Linked DNA regions of Drosophila melanogaster. The protein of the gene in region 2 purifies or fractionates together with the protein of the main gene of each other region. This does not show direct contact. Each region holds a gene or a part of one and is shown on either strand. Other genes may lie near its edges.

Region 1 (5,921 bases), on a different chromosome or scaffold from region 2:
GAGGCCAACCTGTTGTTGGGTGACATTATCAAGGTGACGCCCTCGTCGAAGGTGGTAGGTGATCTTGCCCAGTTCATGGTGCAGAATGACCTGACCGCCGATCAAGTGCTGGAGCGGGCCGAGGAGCTGTCGTTCCCCAAGTCGGTGGTGGAGTACTTGCAGGGCTCTATTGGCATTCCGCACGGCGGATTCCCCGAGCCGCTGCGTTCGCGAGTGCTCAAGGACATGCCCCGCATCGAGGGACGTCCGGGAGCCGAACTGAAGGACTTGGACTTTGACAAGCTGAAGAAGGAACTGCAGGAGTCTCACACCTGCGTCACCAACCGTGATGTCATGTCAGCTGCCCTCTACCCGCAGGTGACGAATGATTTCCTAAACTTCCGCGAAAAGTACGGACCCGTCGACAAGCTGGACACTCGCATCTTCCTCACGGGTCCCAAGGTGGGCGAGGAGTTCGACGTACCTCTGGAGCGCGGTAAGACGCTGAGCGTGAAAGCTCTGGCTGTGTCCGCCGATCTCAAGCCCAACGGTATCCGCGAGGTATTCTTTGAGTTGAATGGCCAGCTGCGCGCGGTCCACATCCTGGACAAGGAAGCCGTTAAGGTAGGTTCAGTCAGCAGTCATCGGTGATCTTTAGGCAATGGAATCATTTGCTTGCTCTTCTTCCGCAGGAGATCCATGTCCATCCCAAAGCGAACAAGTCGAACAAGAGCGAGGTGGGCGCCCCCATGCCCGGAACTGTCATCGATATCCGCGTGAAGGTTGGCGACAAAGTGGAGAAGGGTCAGCCTCTGGTCGTGCTCTCGGCCATGAAGATGGAGATGGTGGTGCAGTCGCCATTGGCGGGCGTTGTCAAGAAGCTGGAAATTGCCAACGGAACGAAGCTGGAGGGCGAGGACCTCATTATGATTATCGAATAGACAGTGCCACCGGATCAAAATGTCCATTGTCTAAGCTGCCACCGCACACACCCAATGTAAAATTAAGTGAAAACAGTGATAATCTTAGGGACTCTGTCAGTTCGATTGATCATAAAACTGTCCAAAGTCGCCTGTGTCTATTTTTATATGAATCAAAATCATTCATGTTTCCGTGTTTCCAGGATCAATCGACCATGAGTAACTGGTCAAATTTTTTAGCTGTCCCTGCCAAAATATATCGGATTGCATAAGTTCGTGCCCAAGTATATTTGTAAATTTGTCGTAGGGCTTTTCCCGCAAGTCATTTGAATCAAATTTGTACGATTATGGAATTTTTAATTCGCAAACACCTGTGTCGAGATTCCCCCTCTAGTAAATACGTAAGTGGTTATTAATGTTATATTAACTATTGTGTAATAAACGTTATACAAAATAAAAAGTAACGCCCTGGTTTTTGTAGTGTGAAATTGGTGATTAAACATCTCGAAACAAATATGTAATGTATGGTTATCTACTTTATTTTTTTCCTAAAATTAATTAAACTGAATTAAGTTAACAATCATGAATGAAACGGCTCCGAAGCTAAAGCCTACATGCACTTGACAATGAACTCTAGGAAAGCCAGATCCTTGTTCAGCTCGGTGACCCGCTTAAAGTGTCTCTGGACGTACGGAGTGAGTACCTCGACCATGTTGCCATTGTAGTAGAACCTCGCCTTGGGATCCAGAAGAGCATCTCCGATCAAGTACTTGAGGATCATGTTGCCCGCCTGCGAATGGCGCGAGTTGGTGGTCCATGCCTTGACGTGCTGCAGCAGCGCAACCCGCTGGTCAACGTTCAACTGGTCAACCAATTGCCGGAGACCGGGCTCATCTCGCTTGCGGACAAAGTGGTTGATAATATCGAAACTGGCTTTGGGCTTGTCCAGGTTCAGAGCCAACACGAAGGCCTTGTGAAGCTGCTTCTGGGCGTGCAGAAGGGAATGTAGGGTCTGCTCCTGCTCCAATGCGGCCTGCCGCTTGTCCAGCGCTTCGTTTCGCGTCACCTGAGTGACATCACCGAAGCGAATCAGCTTGGAGTCCGCGCCGCCGGTGTAAAAGAACCGATTGCTCCTGGCGGATACGGCCAGCGCCCAAACCCTATCGTTGTGCTCGTCCAGGGACTGCAGACATGTGTTGGTCTTGATATTCCACAGCTTAAGAAGGCCATCCGAAGCAGCGGAGATAATGAACTTGCCGTGATCCAGGAACTCGGCTCTCAGTATGGTGCACTCCTGATCGAAACGTTTTATGCACGAAAAATTGCTGATGGACCAGATGCGGAGAGTACAGTCCGACGATGAGGTGAGCACGATCTGATCCACCGGAGAGAAGCGCACACTCCACACACCGCGGGTGTGTCCCCGCAACACTCCTTGCAGCGTGTTGGACTCCGCCAGCCACACCTTAGCCGTCTTGTCTTGCGACGCGGTAGCAATAAGCTTGTTATTCGGAGCATATGCAACGCAGTTCACCTCCTTGTCGTGGGAAAGCGCTGCGTAGCGCAGGTTGAAAGAGTACGAGTTGCGATCCTCCTTACTTCTGACGAGCTGCCATACCTTCATGCTGCCATCTTGGCTCACGGATGCAAAGCCAGTAGCTCCGTTGTGCGTCATGGCCACGCAACCGATAGTGGACGTGTGGCAGTTGGCCTGTTGAGTCAGAGCCTCAAGCGAGCAATCTTTGTCGTGCTGAAGCCTCCAAAGCCGAACGCTGCAGTCCTTTCCCACCGAAATCAGCAGATTTTGGGATGCAGCAAGGGACATTACCGTATCCGAGTGACCCACGATCAGCTTGCAATTCATGTCGTGTTCCGTGTCGTACAGCTTGAAGTGCTTGCTGTTGGTGGCAACGGCCAGGTAGCGATCGTGTTCGCCCATAAAGCACATGTCTAGGATCTCGTCGTTGTAACCCACCAAGTGTTTAATGGGTTCCAGGGTTTCAACGTCGTAGACCAAAATATTCTGCTCTGTAGTGACCAGGGCCAGCTGTTTTAGCTCGCTGCAGTGCAGCAGTCTACTAATTTGGAAATCAGATTGAGAAAGAATATCCCTGATCTTCCAAGATTTAGGGTCGACCTGTTGCAGCTTGCCCGATCCGCTCGCCACGATTATCAGTTGTCCCTCGTCTGCGTACACGACTCCCTCAAGCTCATCGTACAAGGGAAGAACCTTCAACTGCTTGCTTTCCAACTGCTCCTGCAATTGCCACACGATCATAACCTTGTCCCGGCTTACAGTCACGATTTCATTGCAGTCGGACGCGTTGCTCTTAAAGCTCAAGCCGGTGACTTGCGACAGGTGACCTCGCATCTTGTGCACAAGTGTCTTCGTCTCGTAGTTCCAGGCATAGACAGTGTTATCCGAACCTCCGGCGTAGATCTCTTTGCGCAGCACATTGGGATGAAAGACGAGGAGCCAAGCGGGACCAGGGAAATCCTTGAGGGCACCCAGACAGCTGTTGTTCGAGTAGTCCCACAGCCTCAGTGTGGCATCTGCACCGCCGCTGGTGCAGATAAGCCTGCCGCAGGGACTAAACTCAACTCGGATGACTGGTCCCTTGTGCTGCGCCTTCCACAGCTTCACCAGCTTCCCAGTGTCCAGCTGCCACAGCCTAAGCAGGCCACTTCGATGGGCAGTAACCAGATGCTCCTGTGACAGCCCGAAGCAAGTAATCGTATCCTCCTCCACATCGATATTGTCCAGCTCCGCCGGCCTCTTGTTATCCGCCGACGGGGAAGACAAGCCGTAGCTATTTAGGATTTGGGAGGTCTGCACATCCACCTGGTTTACAGCTGAGCCATTGAGGCAGTAAAGATGATGGCCATTCGGGCTCCAGGCGATGTCGCCGCCGGCGTAGAAGTTCGTGTAGCGGGCCTCCGCCGCATAGCTGGATTTTAAAATTGTTGTAGTCTTGCAATCATCAGGTAATTATTAAGTTTATGTTACCTTTTCTCGCTGATACCCGCCAGCATGATTTTCGTTGTTTATAAATACAAAAACCGCGTGCGCCGCGGATCAGAACATGAACGGAACTAGTTCGAAATGTTACTTTACAGAGCATGTAAGGGGATATTCGAAATGTATAAGTAGAAAAGAAAAGAATGATATTAACTTCAACTGTGCTAAATAAATAAAGTACCATGAATTGGTGATTTATTTTTAATCATTCGAATTTTATCTGAAAAAATCGCGATTGGTATACGATTGGTTTTTATTGACGATAGTCGTTCCGAAACTATCGAACCTCCTTGACCGATAGGCCCCTTTGTTTTGTCCACCACTAGCCAAGTAAAAGCCGTCAAATCATCGTCGCATTCGACCCAAGGAATTAAACTAATTTTTGCGTTTGAATTGTTTAAATTTTCACAAAGTCTTCGCTATGAGTACTATTGGCACTGGAGTAAGTGGTCAGCGAACTACATATCTGCAGATCCCTAACGTCACCCTCTCGCTTCCAGTACGACTTGTCGGCCTCGCAGTTTTCGCCTGATGGCCGCGTTTTCCAGATCGACTACGCCTCAAAGGCGGTGGAGAAGAGCGGCACCGTAATCGGGATTCGGGGCAAGGACGCCGTGGTGCTGGCCGTGGAGAAGATCATCACCAGTAAACTGTACGAACCAGACGCCGGCGGACGCATCTTCACCATCGAAAAGAACATCGGAATGGCGGTGGCCGGCTTGGTGGCCGATGGAAACTTTGTGGCTGACATTGCGCGTCAGGAGGCAGCCAACTACAGACAGCAATTTGAGCAGGCTATCCCGCTTAAACACCTGTGCCACCGAGTCGCCGGCTACGTTCACGCCTACACTCTGTACAGTGCCGTCCGCCCCTTCGGACTTTCCATCATTCTCGCCTCCTGGGACGAAGTAGAGGGGCCACAGCTCTACAAGATCGAGCCGTCCGGCTCCTCCTTCGGTTACTTCGCCTGCGCCAGCGGCAAGGCCAAGCAGCTGGCCAAGACTGAGATGGAGAAGCTCAAGATGGATATGAGGACCGACGAATTGGTGGAGAGCGCTGGTGAAATGTACGTTTACAGCAAAAAAAAGGGACTGTTTCAAAAATCGGGCGGGCTTTATCCTAGTTCCGAGTGGAAACTTACTTGCTCTGACAATAGGAAGCATTTTTGGGACATCTATTGCACTTAGAATCTAGGTTTTTATTCATAATTAACATATCTATCCTATGTCTTAGCATCTACAAAGTCCATGACGAGTTGAAGGACAAGGACTTCCGCTTCGAAATGGGTTTGGTGGGCAGGGTAACCGGTGGCCTACATCTCATAAATCCCTCAGAACTGACGGAGAAGGCGAGGAAAGCCGGCGATGCGGCCAACAAGGACGAAGACAGCGACAATGAGACGCACTAGTTCGTTTGTGTGCCAGTGAATCTAATTCTGGGCCTCATACATAATGTTAATTTTATATTTCCCTAAAGCGCAAAATGAATAAACAAAATCGGGTGAAATTTAAGGTTTTTATATTTTTATACTCTCATTCTTTAATAGTTATCGTTCGATATAAATATATTGGCTCGCTGGTTATCGGATCTGGTTCCTTTTGAATGTGCCTGCAGCTATTAAACCTCGATTGCTACAAAGAAAAACCTTATCGCTCACAGCTGATGCATTTCGCGCCATTTGTTGTACTTTATTTTGGTTTTAACGACGCACGACTGGAATTTCAGTCTATTGTTAATAACTACAATGACTACCTTAATAGAACAGTTAATTACGAAAATGGGCCTAAGGGAGGAGCCAAACGTGCTAGAGTAAGCGATAAATAAATAGTTTTAAAGGTTTACCCAGTAAGATCGAATCCTTTCAGGAAAACCACCGAACTAGTACGCCTCCTGGAACTGCGCTCCACGAATGTCCCTCTGCAGATCAACGAGTACGGAAAGATAGTGCTGTGTGCGGATCTCGCTTCCTGCATGATTGGGATCGCTTTCGACAAGGAGCAGGC
Region 2 (7,127 bases):
CCCACGGGAAACCGAAAACATAGGGTTTCCAAGGGGAATGTCGCCAGGCTGGGCTCACTCTCACTCTCTCCCTTTTCCATTTTTGTTTTTATTTCATTTTATTTTAGTGATAAGGCTCGGCCCGAGAAAGTCGATATCGTAATATAAACACGAAATAGGAGCCCAGCACCGAGCAGCAAGCATCCCGCTGTTGAGGGAGAAAAACCAAATTGTAGATGCCATCCGCCAGGAAAACCGAAAAGGCGAAGAGGCCAAGGGGAGTACACTGAGAGAAACATTTAAAAGAAATACGAATGTGTTCGAGATACTCTCAAGAGTTCCAAATGAATTGAAAATTGTAAACTAGTGTAAACTTACAAATTTTCGTCGGCTTTTCATGGGTTTCTCTCAGTGTATAAAGCTGTAGCACACATAGGGGTTATAGGGGTGCCGTTTTGCCCGCGTGGGTTTTGTTGATTTTGCGTGCGCATAAAAAATCGAAGTGGGCTTGTGAGGTTGGAGATTCGAAGCCGACGAAGATGGAATGGCGAATGGGGGCTTGGGGTTTTTTGGGGGCACTGGGAATTGTGGATGCGACAATCTCGGCGCGTGTTTTTGGCTGCTGGAGCAGCTTGTTTCGCATTCTGCACTTCTGTGGTTGAGGGCCGACTCGTTTAGGGGCGTGTACCCCTCTTTTCGGTCATAAAGGGCGGAGGGGGGGGGGGTGAAATGCCGACGAACAGGTGGCGCGGACACGTGGACGCAACTCACCTGTAATATCACGATCGTAGAGGTAACTACTGGCACTGCTCTTGAGGCTAATGGAATCCAGGGGCGTGGCAGGTGGCTCAAAGATATCGAAGGAGTTGCAGGACTCAGCCGAGGGCGTCGGAGGATCCACAATTGTCCTTGCTGATGGAGCGGGTCGTATAAATGCATGCAATAAGGACACAATTTAAAGGATAATTTAAACACAAATATATGGTATTACTCTTACTCTTACTCTTACTAAAACATATGTAAAAAAACAAAACATAAGAAGCTTCAGTAATTTAAAACACCTTCCCCTGTTACTTAAAATCTATCTGAAAACTGAAGTGCTTAATTAATTGAATCACTTTCTCGAATTTACCTTTTCAATTGAAAAAATCCATGCCTTCCACCAAATAAAGCAAGGAATATTCCCTTTATCTTTGAGGATAGTTTATTGTAAAAATCCGTCTTAATATTTAAAACATTTCAGAGAATATAAAGAGACGTGTTGTATTTCAGCTCTTAACAAGGCATTTACTTGAATAAGCAAATATATTTATTGACATACAATGATTCCCGAGAATCTTTATGCACCACTTAATAATTTATTAATATAATAATATTTATAAAATCGCTTAAACCGGCTTCGATTAAAACAAGAGCTTAGCTTCTGCCGCCCTTTAGCCTTTTTCGCTCCACTTCCTTGCTGTAGAAATGAAGATGTCTATTGACCCTGGCCACCACATTTAGCTGGCTTTTGTCCAGATATCTGAAGATCTCGAAGTACAATTCGTCCGGGAGGCCCAATAGCGAGGGCTGTAGCTTCATCTCCATCTGCATTAGTTGCTGCGATCGCATGGGCTGGAACAAGTGCTGTTTCAGCTGATATGAGAGTTCATCCAGCTTCCGAAAGCGATGGTAGATGGGCTTGTTCTTCGCCTGAATATTCAGTACATAGCGTCCGATAGACAGGCTGACGCTGTAGCCAGGCTCCTTCGACGGAGGTGCTGGGGACAGGGTGATCATAAGCTGATCCCCCAGGCTGACGGCCATCAGCCGGCACTGAAGGGCAGCCACCAGAGAAGTCTCCTCGGGAGCATGCTTGTCCAATAGTGTTCTCAGTCGCATTATATAGACGGTGTCATTGAAGCACACTTCATATCTAGCTGGTTGTTCGCTCAGGATTCGCACATTCTGGGCGTGAAAGCTGCTAAATGATGGTACGGGTTGAATGAGGTGTCTCTTCTGGGCAAATGTCTCCTCCTCCACAAATCCGCATTCCAGGGCCACCAGGTAAGTCAACAAATGAAGCCACTCGGCAGCCGGCATTTTGCGACATTCCTGATACTGATTCAGTAGCTTATCCATATGCTGCGGCACCCATTCCAGAGTAGCATGCTCCAGGATCAACGGATTTGTCTCCTGGGTGCTCTTCTCTTGTATCAAACGTGGTCGCTGCTTTTTCCCCACTGCAACGAGTTTTATTTGTATTTATATTTAAACAGAATCTCGAGGATATGATTAGTGAAATTGTCTGTGCTGTTGGTTGGTTAGGAGAAGATTGAAAATTGCAGAAACAAACCTGCTATGTGCGGATTTCGGAAGCAACAACTCAAACCGGTAGTTATATACAATACATTTTGACACTACAAAATATAGAACACAGAAGTAAACTCAAAACTCCCGTTAAGACTTTAAGACTGATGTAGAACTTTAAATAAATTAAGTAAATTAACACTTGCATTCAAAAACAAATCACGAAAGAAATTGTAAATAAAATTATGTCTAACACGACATAAATATTTAATTCACTACTCAATTTGCTTTAAAATAAATTGTAAAATTAATCAAACTTAGAATTATTTTGTGTTTACATAATATATTTGATAAGACACTAGGTTAAACAAGTTGGAACTGAACAATTAAAACGGCTATTATTACAATAAATATAACGTCACATTTTTGAAGCAATTTACAAAATAATCAAACAGGTTTTTCGGAATTTATGTTACTTTTATTCGAAGGGGTTAACTTGATGATTCATCGAAGAGAGTCGCCGATCTTGGAATGAAAGTCTAAGGAACTTCATTCAAGTTAAGTGATTCAAGGTATGAGTAAATAGATATGCATAATTCGTGGATGAAAAACACATTGCTCTATAAACTAACAATAGAAACAGGTACAAATAAATTTGTTAAAAAAATATCTATAGAATGAGCAGATTGTTATTAGCATAATGCATGAATTAGTGTACGTTGTCTTGTTTATCATGATTTATGAGTATCTATTGTTAAGTGATATGTATTAAATAATGATTTCTATTATAGATTATGAATAACTTCTAGATATCAGTGATACTCTCAACTAAATATTAATATATACAATAATCGTATTTTTTAAGATTATTTTACGATATAGAATATGATAAGATACTAATGAACGATTGTTATTTGCAGGCCATTTATCAATTACATAGAGCGCTCTTAAGTAAGTTAGTAAGTTTCTATAAATATTACACAACTTACCCTGATCAGGAGCTTTAATGTCCTTTGTGCCGACCACTTGTTGCTCATTTTGCTGCTGTTGCGGCTGTTGTTGTTGTTGTTCGCCCGATGTCGTGGGAATGGCTATAAAGCCCTCAATTTCGGATTTAGTGTCTGACATTTCAGATATTTACGTACGAATTTTCTGGGAAACGATTTGATTTAAACTTTCAATGCGACTGTCATTGTTTGTTTTCGGAATGACAATCAGAAAATGGGGCATACTGCGATTTGTGCACTCAATTTTTATATTTAGTGCTATATAGTGGGACTGATTAACAAAAGGAGGGAATCGCAATTATATTACTTCGTTGATAAGCTGTGGCACTTAAGATTTAAACATATTTACAACAAATTGCGAATGTACAAATATCCAACGATTCTTATTCACGCAACAAAAACAAAGCGCAACGACGCATCGGCAGGTATTTTCTAGAAAACTTGGTTTGTCACAGATATTACATAAGCAGTCGCAATTGCCAGGTTCGTATGTATTTTGCTTAATATAGTTTTCGATTTTGTAGCCGCAAAAATCACAGAAAATTGAAAAATTCGCGAAAAAACAATTGGTTATTTAGCGAATAATCAGCTGGCTGGCAGCTACTATGCAACACTACTGCCGCTGCTGTTATCGATTGCAGATGAGGAGAGAGTCGCTTGTTAAGCTAGCTATATTCAAGCTGAAAATTAAATATCTTCGAATTCACCGAACATATATTGATATAAAAAGCGTTTTAGGTTGAAATGACTCAATAACGCCAGCCCTAATGTAACTAAAACAAGCGCACTATGCTAAACAAGCGTTTTGAAAATAATTGAAATCTCTAGCTAGTTTCTAGATCCAATAGTTCCCATCCCTAATAGAAAAATATGGCCAGTGCTAGTAAATAAATTCCTAATAGCCGGCTAAATGGTTTGTTTTTGTTGAAACTAGGAGAAAATTAATAAAAACAAAAGATATACCCGAAGAAACATGCCGAGCCAAGAGGAAAATGAGTTGTACATGGTCAAGGAGGCGCAAAGACTCCGGAAAAGCGATCCTTGCGCGGCCATGGCCTGGATTATCACAGCTAAAACTTTATATCCCAATGCATTCAACCTGCAATACGAGGCTTATCTACTGGAACGCGATGCTCAGAATTATGAGGAGGCAGCAAAGTGTTTCAGTGCTATGTGAGTATACAATAGCACATCTATTCCAGTTACTTTATCTTTTACTGTTCCAGAGCCACCAATTTCCAGAATCAACATACGGAGCTGTGGCAGGAGATCAACTCCCTAACAAATGCCCTCAGAAATGAGAATGAAACTACGCCGGAACACGAGTTCTATGTAAAAATGTACAAGCACCTAACTCCGGAAGTACAGCACAACATATTCATGCACACCATCAACCACAGTGCCGATAATCTGGAGCGCATCTATATCTACATACTGATGTTCAACAAGTTTCCCAAATCAGCCATAACTCAGGCTCCCAGGCTACTGGAAATGCTGGCGGAGGGCATGAAAACCGAACCGGATCTCTATCAGCGGATTCTGGTGGAGGAGGTATTGCCCATGATCCAGAATAAGCCCCCGGAACTTTCGCCAAATCTGGCCTGCAGACTTTATACCAGTTCCTTGGAGTTTTATTTGCGGCAAATAATGGATGAATCGGATACAGCAGATGCCTGGAAGAACATCTTTAAAGTGCTGATGATCTGCGGTCAGATGATGGGCTGGGAGCCCTTCCTGCCCTTCAGCAAGCATGTCAACCAGAACGTCTACTGGGAAAAGCTGGTGGACATACTTTCCGGCAGTCCTGCGGGCAGCTCCCAGGTTTTGTTCTACGCCACCACCTTGTTCATTTACTCCCTTCATGGTTATATACGAAATTGTAAGCTGAGGATCGAGGATGCCGATGTAACTCATGTTTTGGTAGAAGGATTCATGGAATGGTCGCCGGAAGGTGATGGCTCCGAAGTGCCCAGCATGGAGCCACCGAAATTCTCCCTGACCACGGCCATAAGTCCAGAGTTATCCAAGGCCTTCCTACACGCCGCCCAGTGCTGGCAGCTGCTCAATACGGATCAGTTCCAAAGGGATTTCAGTCAACTTATGCTGGCTCTTCCCTTGGCGCCTTGGATCTCAAGATTCCTCTTCGACTTGGCCATATATTTCGGACACCGGGATGAGGCCAACAAGCTTATGGCGGACATGACCACCCAGAGCAGTCTGGTGCAAAGCCTGCAGATCTTGAGCCTTAATCTAATGCAAGGCAGCATGACGGTAAGTAGAGAGCCAGTTTTTTCACATGGGTAAACCTTAATGAATTTCTCACACAGCTCCAGGGCTTCCAGTGCATTTTAAAGATCCTGTCAGAACTCCCCACCACCCAGGGTCAACTTTTGGAGAATATGTCGCTGAAGGGCCACAGGCACATGGTTTTTCTGCCCCTCACTCGATCAGCGTTGGTTCAGTACTGCGTGGGAGCCATCATCAGCAGACTGAGTCGCAAGGTCTTCGAACCGAACGTTCCAGATCGATTGCTAGGGGATATCCTAGTGCTGCAGCAACTTAATCTACTCAACGATGTTCTGCTCACTCAACAGATATTTAACCTGATCAAGCAACGGAAATCGTTCAATCTGCGCACCCTATCCACCTACATTATTAATATCGATTTGCTCGAGGAACTCTCGCACATTTGGAACTCCCAGCAGGAGGATAACTTTGAGTTGACCAGCTCGCCAAATTCGAGTGGCACACCTACTGCGACCACTGTAGCTGGTGGTTCCCAAAGCCGAAGAATTGGCACCCGTGGAGCGGACAAAGGAGCCCGAGATGAATTCAGGGCGATAACACGCCAGCAGATTGCCCGCTGCAATGAGAACGTGATCACTTTGCTTGCGAATTTCATTAACCAAGAACACTTGATGCTGGCGCAGCACATCTTTGGAATCAGTCAGCCCGTGGAGACGATTGTGATTAAGTGAAATAACTAGGAGGTAACATTTATAAAATATCTATTTTCCAGCTATCTTACACATTGTGTGTTTGGTTAATACATACGACTATTATATTTAAGTTCACCAGTCTAGACTGGTGTATTTCGCTTATCGAATAAACAAATATTTATTTTATCAGCTGATAACATAGTTAGAGGTTGCATTTGATATGTTTCGATTTAGTCATACGCATAATTTAAAACTTCATGTAGTTTTAATTTAATTTGGGTATAATAAATATAATTGATCGACTAACAATAACTTAAAATGATTCATCTTATTTCTTGGTTAAGCATTTATGTTAAAGGACCAGTTGTGTACTAAACATGCATATTTATTGGTATTAAGAGCCTCTTATTTACATAATAACCCTCGTGTTCACAATAACTAAATAATTTGGTTTCTTGTCGATATCACACCTATTCCGCGATTCCTATTCGTTCTGTCTTAAACGGCTTTTTGGGCATCGGGACTCGTCGTTGAACTCTGAGGCAATAGGTTCTGCTCGGAGGACGCAACTAACTTCTCCTCCAGTGGGAGGTGAACGCCGAAATCGTGCTTCATGTAGGACATGAGCACATTGTAAACAGCCGTGCACACATTGACGAACGTCACCCGGTATTTGGTGTCTAAATAGCGAAAGTTCAGGTACTGCGCCGCCGGCCAGGTCATCCAATCCAGCATGTAAACATACGGGAACTTGGAGATCAGCTCCTGATTGGTGGCGTCCAGGGTCTGGCGCTCCAGATAGCAAAGCGAATAGAAGAATATGACGATGCAGGCGGGCGACATGACCAGCTGGTCAATCAGGATCTTCTTGAAGATGTTCTTTAGCGTACGAGCCGGCATTACCCTGTCCATC

Evidence for each region.
Region 1: the proteins of ntc (region 2) and Prosalpha7 purify together in Drosophila melanogaster (affinity purification with western blotting, with the first as the bait; one study listed by BioGRID). This does not show direct contact.

The regions. Positions count from the first base shown.
Region 1 is NT_033778.4:9,846,136-9,852,056, reverse strand, and holds Prosalpha7 (proteasome alpha7 subunit), read left to right. Parts: upstream 1-4,220; 5' UTR 4,221-4,339; coding exon 4,340-4,360; intron 4,361-4,418; coding exon 4,419-4,984; intron 4,985-5,151; coding exon 5,152-5,326; 3' UTR 5,327-5,421; downstream 5,422-5,921. Other genes in the region: PCB (pyruvate carboxylase), read left to right, coding at 1-603, 672-920; CG1671 (uncharacterized protein), read right to left, coding at 1,510-3,847, 3,907-3,932; Orc6 (origin recognition complex subunit 6), read left to right, coding at 5,663-5,727, 5,784-5,921. UniProt on the Drosophila melanogaster protein: The proteasome is a multicatalytic proteinase complex which is characterized by its ability to cleave peptides with Arg, Phe, Tyr, Leu, and Glu adjacent to the leaving group at neutral or slightly basic pH.
Region 2 is NT_037436.4:3,802,564-3,809,690, forward strand, and holds ntc (nutcracker), read right to left. Parts: upstream 3,897-7,127; 5' UTR 3,397-3,896; coding exon 3,258-3,396; intron 2,202-3,257; coding exon 1,396-2,201; 3' UTR 1,269-1,395; downstream 1-1,268. Other genes in the region: IntS10 (integrator 10), read left to right, coding at 4,249-4,448, 4,502-5,546, 5,603-6,253; CG32262 (uncharacterized protein), read right to left, coding at 6,713-7,127. UniProt on the Drosophila melanogaster protein: Functions together with PI31 to control non-apoptotic caspase activation during sperm individualization. Positively regulates PI31 stability.